Nothobranchius furzeri: one gene and its partners. The protein of the gene in region 3 purifies or fractionates together with the protein of the main gene of each other region. This does not show direct contact. Links are inferred from orthologs where the notes say so. Each region holds a gene or a part of one and is shown on either strand. Other genes may lie near its edges.

Evidence for each region.
Region 1: the proteins of ift140 (region 3) and intraflagellar transport protein 43 homolog purify together in Homo sapiens (affinity purification with mass spectrometry; 3 studies listed by BioGRID and IntAct, counting the BioPlex papers as one, with this or other methods). This does not show direct contact. The link is inferred for Nothobranchius furzeri from reciprocal best matches to the Homo sapiens genes IFT140 and IFT43.
Region 2: the proteins of ift140 (region 3) and wdr19 purify together in Homo sapiens (co-immunoprecipitation; 3 studies listed by BioGRID and IntAct, with this or other methods). This does not show direct contact. The link is inferred for Nothobranchius furzeri from reciprocal best matches to the Homo sapiens genes IFT140 and WDR19.

The regions. Positions count from the first base shown.
Region 1 is NC_091758.1:32,608,467-32,613,119, forward strand, and holds the start of intraflagellar transport protein 43 homolog, read left to right. Parts: upstream 1-1,580; 5' UTR 1,581-1,642; coding exon 1,643-1,699; intron 1,700-2,410; coding exon 2,411-2,503; intron 2,504-4,653. Other genes in the region: tgfb3 (transforming growth factor beta-3 proprotein), read right to left, coding at 1-332. UniProt on the Homo sapiens protein: As a component of IFT complex A (IFT-A), a complex required for retrograde ciliary transport and entry into cilia of G protein-coupled receptors (GPCRs), it is involved in ciliogenesis.
Region 2 is NC_091742.1:74,697,252-74,701,972, forward strand, and holds the start of wdr19 (WD repeat-containing protein 19), read right to left. Parts: upstream 3,074-4,721; 5' UTR 2,953-3,073; coding exon 2,947-2,952; intron 2,070-2,946; coding exon 1,978-2,069; intron 1,897-1,977; coding exon 1,831-1,896; intron 1,753-1,830; coding exon 1,627-1,752; intron 1,530-1,626; coding exon 1,411-1,529; intron 1,322-1,410; coding exon 1,206-1,321; intron 1-1,205. UniProt on the Homo sapiens protein: As component of the IFT complex A (IFT-A), a complex required for retrograde ciliary transport and entry into cilia of G protein-coupled receptors (GPCRs), it is involved in cilia function and/or assembly.
Region 3 is NC_091756.1:32,351,414-32,355,568, reverse strand, and holds part of ift140 (intraflagellar transport protein 140 homolog), read left to right. Parts: intron 1-2,625; coding exon 2,626-2,768; intron 2,769-2,844; coding exon 2,845-3,048; intron 3,049-3,128; coding exon 3,129-3,201; intron 3,202-3,300; coding exon 3,301-3,392; intron 3,393-3,478; coding exon 3,479-3,606; intron 3,607-3,694; coding exon 3,695-3,812; intron 3,813-3,896; coding exon 3,897-4,018; intron 4,019-4,100; coding exon 4,101-4,155. UniProt on the Homo sapiens protein: Component of the IFT complex A (IFT-A), a complex required for retrograde ciliary transport and entry into cilia of G protein-coupled receptors (GPCRs).

The DNA.
Region 1 (4,653 bases), on a different chromosome or scaffold from region 3:
CCATTGATCATGTTGAACTTGTAAATCTCTTTGGCGTAGTACTCGGTCTCAGTGTTTTCCTGTCCGCAACTCTGCTGCCGGTCTCTTCCCAGCTCCTCAATGAGCTCCTTGGTGCTGTTGTAGAGGGCCAGAACCTGAAACGGGACCTGGCTCGGACCTGTTGCCTGAGGCGGACTGGTCATCCGGAGTTTACTCAGAATCTGTCCCCGGACCGCCTCCACTCTCTTTTTCTTTATGTGGTCGATGTCCACAGTGGTGCAAGTGGAGAGCGAGAAAGTCATTGTCACACAACTCGAGAGGAGAAAAAACAGAAGTGCTTTGCCCAGATTCATATTTCACTCTGAGTTCACACACAACCGACGCGTATCAAGTAAAATAAAAATAATAATTAAGCGAAAAACAAAAATCCGATTTGAATCCCTTTTATAATGTCATTCAGCTCGTGAGTGAGTTCTGTTCCTGGAGGAATCCCATTTTCTCAAGTGCTATGTCATCGTTGCAAAGTGCGCATCTGGATGAGCGCAAATCCGTGCCATTTTGGAAAATAACCATAACTCTTCACCAAAACTCCTAATTACCCTCCGCATCACCCCTGGTCTCATTCAAGCATCTCTTCCCTTGTGATATATTTCAAACGGGGCCGGTCTGTGCGCCTTGGTTCAGTCCCTCCATTCCACTCAGCTCTTTTCATCCACTGGTGTTAGTGGAGCCAGCGCCTCTGTTATCTCCCCGTAGTCCAACCTCAAACACACTCAGGCTCTGCACTCTCACTCATACTTTATATCCTGCTGGCTGTGACGTTTCTGAAGGAGGGGCAGCAATTTCTAAACCTTGTTCAAACAATGAACTATAGCTCCTATCATAACATGTGTTTCTAAATCCTTCTTTCAAGTCTGTTTTTGAGTTAAATTATGGTTTCCGCAATCAAACCCCATCCCATGCGTGAGTGTATTTTTGTTTAATGGTTATGTAGTATCTATTTTTAAACAAAAATAATGAACTAAACAGAAAAGTAAGCTTTCTGGGGCTAATTAATCAATTAGATGTTTTATTGTAGGCACAAAATGGCTATTAAGTAGGCTGCACAATTTTTCTGCTTTATCAAAGTTTCTGATGAAATCATGGACGTAAATTATATGCAAATCACAGATGGTGGAATGAAATTAAAAGGAGGTATTTTGATTAAACATTCAGCTGCTCTGAACTACCGCATGATGGCTGCTACCGAGCGGTGTCAGCAAATGAAAACATGCGCAACACTGACATCTGGTGGATAGAAAGAGTAACAACACATTTAATTCTGGTTCTAAATAAAAACACATTTAATTAACGGGACATTTAAGCGAGCGATGTTTAAATGTTGGACATAAATTTTCGCTGATACCTATTGGACTAGAGTTTGTCTTTTATTTTATTACATAAAAATATAAATGTAACCATTAATATCAATTCATCAACAATGCTATTACTATTTAATTAGACATTAAATCTTTGTGTTATAAATAAATCGAACCTGTTTTATTGAGATTTTATTAAATTTAATTACGCAAGACACGTTCGCTCCTGCTGATTGGCGTTGCTATGGTGAACGTTGCTATGTAACGGTTGTGACTCAGGAAGAAGCTACAACAGAGCTGTAGCAATGAGGAGAGAGATAGACGATAGCTTTCACGCCGAAGATGGGACAGCTACAAAACATGTACGTCTTGTTTCAGTTAAGATATTTATTAGTGATAACATAATTAGTATTTAGTGCTGTTAGAGAAGCTCGAGCCGTTGTGTAATGTTTCACCGAGGCTAGCGTCAGCTTTTTAGCTAACACCGTAAACCAAATACGTGCCTTGCCATTTGATAAGCTAAATGTTTAACAAATAAACCACCGTCAAACATATGTTATGGTTTTACCGGTTGTGAGCAAGATTAGTGATTATTTGTTTGCCAGTGTCAAGCTAACGCTAGCTTTGTGGTTAGCCGTGCTAGCGTGCTACTGAGTTTCTTGTAGGCAGAGCTTTTGTTTTGGTTTTCTCTTTTTTTTTCTCCTACTTTGCGTCTTTCTCAGACAAAAGAAGGTGCATTTCAGAATTACGAAGGCGGTTGGTCTCTCGTAGAGAGTAAGAACTGAGTAACTACCAGTGCTGTAAGAAAGAAGTAAAAAATTGTGAACCACCTTTCTGTCTTTTATTTTGAAAATCTACATATTCACGTCTCCTATTAGTAAACTGAGTAAGCTATTTGAACATCAAATAATAATGAAAACTATTTAAAATGAGAAATGTTAAAACGGATGGATCTATATTTATGGAATCAAAGTATTTTAGCATTTAAAGCAGATATTCTGCATATAAATGTATTCAGCAAGATGCTTTTCAACAAAGAAAATTAATTTTCAAAAATCCCTCACATTTCTCAGATTGCCAAGTCTGGACGAAGAGCTCGTCTTGCAGCAGACCAGTCGTCATCCGAAGAGTCTCGCCATGCTCGGAAGTCCTCTTCCTCTTTAGAAGTATGTAATTTCATGTAACAAATGGTTGTCTACATATTTTATTTTACCTTAAAGTATCATAAATACAGATTTTTATTTTATCTCATACACAAATGACAGGATGTTGATGATGATGATGAGGTGGGTAGCTTGACTTTGCATGACTTCTATTGTGCATACTTTCTACCCTATTAATATGGTGTTTGAACATTTCTCTCAATTACCAACACACAGCTGAAACTGACTTGATGCAGTGGATGAGATATTTCACTCTTTAAACTTCAACAGGTTTTAAACTTGTGTGTGTTGGTCAGTGTTTGAAGTGTCACTTTTTTCAAACTTTACAGCTTCTTCAGAGTATGAAAACATACGTGAATCCTTTCCATGAGTCTTATCATTGAAACATATCTTAAATGCAAATACATTTTATATGAATTACTTTACTAATTGACAAATAACAACAGCAGAATAGCAATAACTTGTCTTAAGAGGTTGTTGCAGGGGATAAGATGTTCTTTAAGGTGTTGGTTTCATTTTCCTGTGGTCTGATTCACAGATTTTCTATTCATTGCTCTGTAACGATTGGTTGGTGGTGTTTTTGAATGAGTCTTTACCCTGAAATGAAGAGGGTATTTGCTCAATTAGCAGCAGGTGTTTGTGTAGGGCGTTGGCCTTTAAAAGATGCCCGGTACCATGACAACAGTCATATGAAAGTATATTACATCATAGAAAAGACCAATATTGTTGCAGTAAAAAAGAAAATATGGCAGTCAATGTAACTGTACATTGGACTTGTTGGGTAAAATATGTGAAAAATCTCATCAGAGGCAACATTTATTAACTAGGCTCACGCTAGTATCGCTGGCATTTCGGGAACGAGTCACATCTCCTGCTCTGGCAAACCCATCATCATTCCCAAAGTCAAAAATTCCAGCAATGCTTTAAGCTAATCTTCCCAAATTAGGCCAACTTCCATAATGTATGAACCAATATTCTCACGCTCTCCCTGACCGTGCCCTGCACATGCAATACATTTTTCCGGAGTGTCGTGCATTTTGGTCCTTTTTTCCTCCTCCCTCTGCAGTCTTTGTTTATCAACCTTGCCCTCTTCTGCCTTAAATACCCAACTGATTTGGTCACATTCTTGACATCACTCAAAGCAAAGACCCAGATGCTTTTATGGGCTCATAATGTTTGACCACCACAATTTCCTTGCCCCAGAGACCATCGCAGAATCCTAAATTAAGAACCATGAAGGCTAAGCTAATTGTCCTAACAGCTCTAACTATTTTATGACAACTGTAAGGTTCATATTTGGTCATAAAGAATTTGCAGGCAGATGATTGTTTTGTTTCTCAGGACACTTATGGTCAAAGAATGCCAAAAAAATGACTGTTGTCCTCTCAAGGACACTTGACCTTATTATCTTGTCTCTCATGAAAACTATTTGTTGTCCTAAACACAAAGTATCAAACAGACGAGTTTCCACATCCACCAAAAGCATTCTGCAGCGTTGTCTTGAAAGTCTCAGTTGTCACTTTAATCATATGTTTTTGTTTAAACAGATGGTTACTAATTATACAAGGAAAGGAAATTCGTCACAAGCACTTTGTCCTCTGCAGACCCCCCCCCCCCCCCCACACACACACACACACACACATACACACCCCACCCCATTCAATGACCAGTGTTCACCCTTATATATGTCGATGGGTCACCCTTAAGTGCTTTAAAGGAATTCATTCATTCAAGTGTTGGTCTCAGTTGGTCCAAGTCTCAGGATCGAGATACATAGTTTATTATTTTCACAGTAAAGAAAATGACAAGCACATGGACCCCCACCCCACCCCACTCACCCACGCATGGACCCCTGTCACCTAACAACTATTTTGGGTTCAAACTCAGTTCTCACACTCTGCTCCACATACCACCATGCCACAGAGATGACTTTATAGTTGCATACAGGTTTGTCTTTGTTGCTTTTATTTGTGTTGTATCAAAGAATGGACTTTAAGCGTAACATCAGCTCAAATGGTAAATAATTAGCGTACCTTCACCGCATTAAAGTAGAAATTCAGCGTTTTGGGATTCCCCTAGAAGAGCTGGCCAAAGTGGCTGGGGAGAGGGAAGTCTGGGCCTCTCGACTTAGGCTGCTGCACCCGTGACCCGAC
Region 2 (4,721 bases), on a different chromosome or scaffold from region 3:
CGAGATGCAAGATAATAATGATTCGTTGAAACATTGTGATATTCCATGTTATGATACTGAACTGATATTTCTACAGCAGAATATCGATTTTTATTCAGAATTTACATTCAAACTGTTACTGTATTTCTTTTGTGGGGTACATCTAAAAATAGTTTATCTCACAGAGTGTATTTTCATCGCACATGCGAAATATATGTTCTGCCCTGGTTTACAACTTTAATTAATCTGGGCCTAGGGCATAGTTTCTCACTACTTACCCAGACACCGAGCTCTCCCCTTCCTCGCTGATGGCTCAGATATGCTTGCGATGATGCTGTATTATCACCATCGAACTCCCATGCCATGCCTCGTCTGATTTACATATGTTGCAGGTGACAGATGTCTTTGCATTGTTTAATCTAAAGTGCTCCCAAACTTTAGAAAATTTTCTTAGGTCTTCCTGTCATTCCTCATCTAAACAACGGCTTTCTTTCTCGTTCTGATCTGCCTCGGTCTGTTCTGCTGCCACCTATGAGCTGTGTGCATTGACTGTTACATAAAAGTTGCACGACACAAACAAATTCACGACAAATTAATTTTTTATCGATTGTTATTGATTCATTGTTGCAGCCCTGTTTCTGGTATCGCAGTATGTCGTCTCCCCTGTACTGATATGAATCGTATCATCAGATTCAAGCCTATAGGGAGCCTAAGTCACGCCCATGTACTTCCAGATCACGAGTCCCCAACAGCAAAACAAAAAGAACGGGAGTCTATGAGAGGATAAAAGTTATTTTCTGATGTCGTTTCATTTGTGCAATGGATTTCACATGTGATATGTGTGAATTTAAAGTCACATTTTGATGCCAAGAATGTGCTTATTTTCAACAGACCAGGTGGCAAAAGTTCTGTTTTTGGTCAGTTTTATGCTGTTGTAAGGTGCTATATAAATAAAGCTGCCTTGCCTTTTAGGTTTGGTGTGAAAATACATCCAGGTCTCTAAATGTTCGTCTCACAGAAATTGACGTCATCGAACCACACAGAGACCAAAGTAAGTTTAGTGAGCTTCAAAACCTTCTTCCAGGACAAAAAGAGCAATAAACATGGAGAAACCACTTTAAACCTGGCCATGCGGTAAGTAGCAGCTACGCTGGAGGAGAAGTGATTCTGTAGTGACGTCTGTTTAAATTATGAATTACACGCATATATAGTGTTGGTGTGACTACCTGTCTGACTGTGTCTCCTTCATGGTTGCTAATGCTAAGAGTGTGGTCATCACTTCCCAGAGCCAGCAGATTCTGAGAACTCCAGCACCCACAGGTGATTTTCTTGGTGTGTTTACCTGCGGTAGCAATGTAAAGACAAATGATCATTATAAATTAAGTAAATATGAATAAATAATTAAATAAATGTTTGCGGTGTGTTTATTACCCAGTATGGGGATCTTGCGTGAGGTCTGTTGGTTGTAGATCAGCAGGTTTCCTTTTGCTGTCCCAACAGCTAACAGAGGGCCAGCTTTAGACCACAGGATGAAGGTCATCTGATCTTTGCTTAAACCAAAAACAGCAAAAGAAGAATACATCCTGATTATTAAAAACTGAGTAACACTTTCTCCCTACCTCACTTTCTGCATCATGGCTGCTGTACCTCATCCCGCTGTCTATTTGTGACATTTTACTGACACTGGCATCCCAGAGGTAGATTAAGCTGGATTTTGCAGCGATCACTGCAAGAATGTCGCCATCCTTGTCCCAGTCCATCCCCACACAGCGACTAAAGGTGAGGAGAGACAAAAGATATGAAGCAGCTGACGCGGTCAAAGTGAACCCCTACAAGTCGTCTTACACTCACCCTGGGAGGTTGAGTTCAGTCCACTTCTGTCCATGTCGATCAAATATTTTCACTGAGTTATCCTGCCTGTGTGATTTGAAACAACTGAAATGTATGAACACCCTTTTGATGATGATCTTGAACTAAGAGAAGAAACAGTTTACTCACCCGGCAACAGCAATGTAGTTTCCAAGGCTTTTCTGCCATTTGTAAAGAACAGTAGAGCCTGCCCAAGCCTTTTCCGAAAGAACGAAAACACTCTGGAAGCAAAAAGTGACTAAATCTAAGTTTAAAGGCATTATAGGGGAAAACAGTCATTCTAGTGTTGCAGCTGCATGAGTGAATCATACACCAAAGTCACAAATTTAATAAATAAAGCCTGGCCAAAACTGATTCGTGCAACGGGATCATGTTCACACAAACACCAGGAAATCTAAACCTGACAAGGAAAATAATCATGGCCTTGAACTGAACTGTGCATAAATAAATACACAAATCAAAGTTTGTTTTCCAAGAATGAGATAATTAAAAACAAACAGATTGTAAAAAACGAATACAGATAACTAAAAACAACAGTCATAAATTCAAGGGCATGAGGTAGGGCTCTGGCTGTTTAACCCTATTCTTATGATAAATAGAAGAAAAATCGATTCTAAATCAGCCTTTAATATAAAGAAAATAACTAATCAAACCCACAAAGTGAGATTATCTTTCTTTATCCGCACTTTAAAAATAATATCACGTCATTCTCTTTAAATGTACTTTTCTATCTAATTTTCTGCCCTATTTATTGTTTAATTTCAGTTCAAAATATAAAGAAATCACACAAAAAAAAAACTAAATTGTTCATATCAAGCTTCCATGCTGCCACATTTAACGGACACGATAAGCTAACTAATGCTATCATTAGCCTCTAACATTAAAGTACTATCATAATTCACCTATAAATACAGTTATGTTCTCTCTGGTCAGCTCAACAACTAACAACTGGGAATTATCGACAAAACCAATGTAGCCTGAGCTAGCTTGAAGCTGCATACCAAAAACTCGCTAAATCCGTTTCGTGTAGGGCAATTCAACCCTGGAAATCACAAAAACAAAAGAAACGTGTGTATTAAAGTTCTCCTTTGTACCAACCTTCATTTTAGTGGCTTTTAAAAGCTCACAACCTAAACCTCCTTCGTCTTTTCAAAACATTTTCGACGTTAGGGATGTTTGTTTCCCACAATGCTTCACTCTGAAGCGTCTTCTGCGGAGATGTCATGGCAACGGGGGGTAGCCAATGAGGGGCCTCTGAGAGGCAGACGAGGCAGCAGATACAGAGTTCGTATTTCAAAATGAAAGCACCGAGGATGCTAATTAAAATGTAATAGAATAATTCCAAACCTGTGTCACTAATTTGTGACAGCAGGTTAATTTTAATGAAAGATATAGTAAAGTATAAATTTGCCTTATTTAATGAAATTTACAAAAAATTGTTTTTTAAACAAATGCTAATATGTTGTGAGTCAATGTTTTCAGTCAGAAATCTAAGGATGCATGGAAAATTTCACAGATTTTGACGTCTGAGTTTTAATATTGTATTTCCATCATTAATCCATAAGATGGCAGTTTTGCACAACTCTTTTTGCCTGGGTGTGCTAAAGACTCGACATCTGCTCCTCTGCCCCAGGTTTCCATGAGCATGAGGACTGTCCTTGGGCAAGACACTTAACCCTCCCTGCTTGCTGCCCACACTGGTAGTCTGGGGGCCTGAGAGGGGCCGTCTATTGAGTACCACTGTTCAAGACTAAAATAGGTGAGGGGTAAGCTGCTCAATTAGAGAGGCACATTTTTAAGAAAGTAATTGCCCATAAGTGTTTCAATTCTTTGTGTGTAATCATGACAATATAATAAAAGCAAATTTGTTAGAGGCTTCAAATTTAACTATTTTGCAAAGACAAAAACATGTGTTTATCTTAATTTTCTGTCTCAGTGACAACATGAAAGTGTTTGTTTCGGAATATCTTTTCAGCTTCAGATAAAAAGCATTTACATGTGCTGGTTCCACATCTTGCATTAGGCAAAATTATCGCAAAAAATCTGTACTTACTATTGTTCAGGCTTTGCCCTCAGGGTGGGTGGGTGGGTAAAGGGACAGAGGGGGCTCAAAGCTTGTTGTCAGGATGGTTCTGGCCCACTTTACACCCACTCTAGAACCGCCCCTGTGTAGAAGGTTCACAGATTGACGTGGGAAATTGGGGGGAGGCTCTGAAAGGCAGCTCACACTCCATGGAGCGATTCAAATAGTTTCTAAGTTCATTTCTGAAGGAGATAGATTCTCTTTGGTCTTGGATGCTTTCAAACCCTAATTTACAACTGCTCAGTTACCTATATCTGCCAGCGATGACATGAGACACAAATGATGTTTAATCTTTCTATTGATGGAAATTCATTTTCAAAGAACTTGGAAGACTTCGACTCGGTTCGCAGTGTTCTCCTTTACAGGTCCGTCGATTTCTTTTATGTTTTTAAATACAAGGGCACTCGTTTAGGTTTTGTTTTATGTTGTTTTTGTTGGCTGTCGCACTGTGCCAGAACCGAAGCGGTTGGCAAAACTTGTGCAGAGATGCTTGCTGAAGGTATATGCGTAAACTTGATCACATCAAACCCCATAATTCTGATATTTATATTAGAATTCGACTTACAATAGCCCTACTAAGTGCCTTTCACAGAGAATAGCATTGCTTGTAGTTAATTTGACAGTGTGATTCTGGTACATTGACAGAGTTTTAATACTTTTTCAGTGATTTCTTTCTTCCCACTTGTCATTTACGTCAATTCACCTGGCTGGTGGTGATGTAGCACGTGTCCCTGACGATAACACGTTTATATCTAAACCAAGATTTTCACCTTTAAAGAAAACAGCCGTT
Region 3 (4,155 bases):
ACTGTACTATGTTTGAAAGTTTGAACTGGCTTCCTTTAAAGGAAAGACGGAGCTTTCATTGGTTATTGTTTATCTTCAAATTTATATTTTTTAAATTTTCCTGAGTATTTAAAAATGTATTTAGTGCCCTTTGAATGTCCATATAGTATCTCTTTTGTTGTTCCTCCAGTTAAGAAGGAAGTTGGGAGACTTGCTTTTAGAGTTAAAGCTCCATTGGACTGGAATAAGCTCTCTGTTGTTATTACATCTTTTCGTTTATTTAAGAACTCTGTTCATTTACACATTTTACCCAATTGTAATTGTTTTTAATTGATAATGTGCTGCACTTAATTTACCACTGGTAAGAAAGAATTTATTTCTGTGATTGCCTATTTTTCTGTAAAATCACAGAAAAAGAGAGCTGCTCGGGTCAAGCAGGCTGCTTAATGCGCGTTCACGCTCAGACATAGCCCTCCGAATCGTTCTTAAATGGTACAGATACAAGTGACGTCACTGGCGCGTTAGCTCGCCTAGTAAGACGTCGGACTCTCGTGCAGAAGACCTGGGTTTGATTCTGGATGTGAACATAGTTTATTTAGAGTTTCTTTTTTACATTAATGGTATATTTTTTTTACAGTAAGAAGCCCAAATTTTTATTTGAGACTCGCCGAACGGCATTGCATTCACAGATAAAAAAGATGTGGGTTCAACTTTCATTTTGGAACAATTTTTCAAGAGCATGCAGGAGGACTGACCCATCTTAAACCTTTGTCGGCTGTGCTGAAGAGAAAGGTACAGAACCAAATTGTTTAATTAATTAGCTGCGCGTTCTCCTGTCCTCTGTCCTCCGGTACAACCAGGACTAAGCTCGTTTTTGCCAAATCGAGGCCCTTCAAAGAGCTGTCTACAATGTGGACTGATCATATCCTTACCACAGAACCCCAATTCAACTTTCCCTTAAGTCAAACTGTGTCATTGGCCGTGTTCGAGTTGAGCTGCGCCTCGCCTGGAAAGCAGACGAGAGCAGGGGGAGTGGCTGAAAGCCGGCATTTAAGTCGGACAGATTTCCCTACATGTGTAGCTCGGGGGTGACGATGGATGAAGATATTGCGTTAGAGTTCATACTTGTTTAATTATTTATTTTAATTCTGGTACCTGTTAGCAGCTGAAACACATCCTCACGTGTTTGTGGATGTCATATATTGTATATGGAGACCTGACTAACCCCGGGTTTCCACCGGAGTCGTCAGCAGCACGTTACTGCAGCAGCACGTCTTGCTCGCGTAAGCTGCTGCTTGGCCCTTCCCACGAGACGCGAATCAGCAGGGGAGCAGCTGTCACCGACCGAGCACGAAGTCACACGAGTGACTTCGTCAGTAAACACAACAACAAGCAGGAGAAAACTACAACATGGCTCCAAAATGTTTGTGTTTTTATGTTCTGTCCGTTTTATAATCGCCAATACGGACCTGAAAAACAAAGGAGACCGCTAGCTAGGTGATAACTTCTCACGGGGCCGCACAGTTAGTAACGTTTTTTAAAGTAAAACGACCGGAAGGCAGTACGTTCTTTATTCTGAAAATATCGGGAGCTTCTCTCCATTTCCGCGTCCGATTTCCTGTCTTTCCTTCCCCAAAAATGTCGAACTTGACCCGTTTCAGAGGCGTCGCGCGTAGGAAATAGAACCGGCGCGTAAAGGCCGCGACATGCTGCTCCTGAGACGCGGCCGACTCGCGCTGCTGACGGCTCCAGTTGAAAAGGTTCTGTTGACCACAGCCGTTCCTATCAGCAGCTATGACGTGCTGCTGCAGTAACGTGCTGCTGACGGCTGCTGTGGAAAGCCGGGGTAATAATAAGTAATGGTTATCAGCTGCAGCTTTAGTGTGCTCATATGAAACGTGACAAATAACACAAAACACATTTGTCTTTATGGCCTATATAGTTGTCATCATCGACGTTACATGATTTACAGAATACATGTGACCAACTAACATTTCATGTTCTACCACCGGATGTTTGGATCAAAATATGAACCAATCAGATCTTAGATCAGGTTTGAGCCAGGCGTTTCCCATCATGCCCTAGGTTTTGCAGCCGATGGAGAGCAACTGCAGCGCCTTGCTCCAAAATCTGCAGCCGCCTTGATCTAACAAGGTTATCGTTGTCTACGTATGCATGACGGCAGAGCAAGTCGGCGTCAAGTCGGACACAAATCTAATCTGCGCAGAACTGGCTCATCTCGAACACGGCCATTAACAGTTAGAGCCTACACCGTCTGATTCCCGGAGATCTCACCAGCCACCAGGGGATTTGAATGAAACTTTCTGAAAATAATCATTGGATGTACAACTGGTTTACTTTCAAAGTCAATCCAATTAAGATGGCCGCCACAACCAGTTGACTTTGACAAACAAAAACACGACTCTCACTCTGTCAGTTTAGAGCTGCAAACAAATGTGGTTGCAGCTGAGGGTAACCCCATCAGATGCTTTGTGTGTTGTCTAGAACTCCATAATTTCTAGACTAAACCAGATCTTAGTTCCAAACTCTGTCATGATGTGTTTCTTTAAGGAATGCAGGCTTTTACATTTTTATTCACTCCAATCTGAGAAGATTTGGGAAAGTCATTTTTTTATTTGTCTGTAGAAATCCTGGCAGCTGGTACCTCCCATGGGCACATAGCAATATGGAAGATGGTGGTGCAGCCAAACAGCAGCAGCAGAGAAACAAAGATCCTGTGGAAATTACAAGCACCCACAGAAATAGAAGGAAATGTCCTTCAGCTACAGGTACCATCTAGACCAGCATTCCATCATGATAGGCGTGCTACTGTTTTCAGAACATTGAACTGAACTTCAATTTCAGTGGGGCTCCTGCCAGAACCTTTTGGCAGCCAATAATTCAAAGACGGTGCTGATTCTAAGTGAGCACGTGATGTCCGCCCACTTCAGCCAGCAGGTGTCAGCAGTGCAGCTCACCCCAACACAGGTCATCATCACTCAGTTCTCCACTGGAGCGCAGCTTGCTCTCATGTCTGATATGCACATCAAAGGAGTGTGTGTTAGCAAGGTAGGAGGGAAGGTGAAGCTTTCACAAAGCGTTTCTCAGAAATACGTCTCAAAACCTTTTGTCTTTTTCTGTTCCATCAGGACTCGGTGACAGTCTGGAACGGTAAAGTAGTCACAGTTTATGAGCTCTCAGGAACAACTTTACGCAGCACAGGTACATGTTACAAACACAAACTGGTAAAATGAACTACATTTTATATTTTCACCACACCTAATTTCTTTTTTCCTTTTCTCTCCTTTCTTGATCTCTCAGGATCATTTTCTTGTGATTCCCAAGTGGTAGCCATGCATGGTGAGAACCTCTACACTGTAGAACCAAACAGGGTTCAAATCCGTACACCGCAGGTCTGTTGGCTTGACCCACTACTAAATAATTTTTGGGTAATTTTCAGAGCATGTCAGATGTTTGTGTTCACTTTCTGCACTATCAGGGCACAGTGAAACAACTCTTAACGTTCTCCAAGACAGAGGGAAACCCTGTGCTCCTCAGTGTGTGCCAGTCCTACCTGGTGGTGGGCACAGACACGGCGCACATCAGAGTTTTTGACCTTTCTAGAAGGTATGGAGTCCATGTGGCTCCTTTATAAATACTCTTATCAGCTGAATTTGTGAATTCAATTGAGATTTTAGTTTTTTTGTTTTTGTAGAGATGCCAAAGCTTCCTGTAGCGCTAAGAACCTGGCAGACCAGATTTCCAATCTGGGAGCTCTGAGGTCTGTCAATTGCAACGCCAATGGCAGCCAAGTTAGCATACTAATCTCTAAGGTAAACGGACAAACATGCTTTACTCTGATATTTTATGCTTTCACACCATCATGAAGTGGTTTTAAGTGGAGTCTTTCTTCTCAGGTAAATGGACGACCTGATCACAAAGTGTACTTTTATGACGTTGAGATGGACACCGTGACACACTTTGACTTCTTCACTGGAAGGCCATCTAGTGGCGTCTTACAGTCAGAAGAAAGTGAAAAGTAAGGTGTTCTCCTTTTGACCATGTGGACTGTAATAGCTGTGACCCCACACATTGATCTGTACGTCTTCTCTGTTTCTCAGGCAGAAGTTTCAGGAGACAGAGTGTAGCGGTCGCCGTCCTGTGTCTCATTTCTGG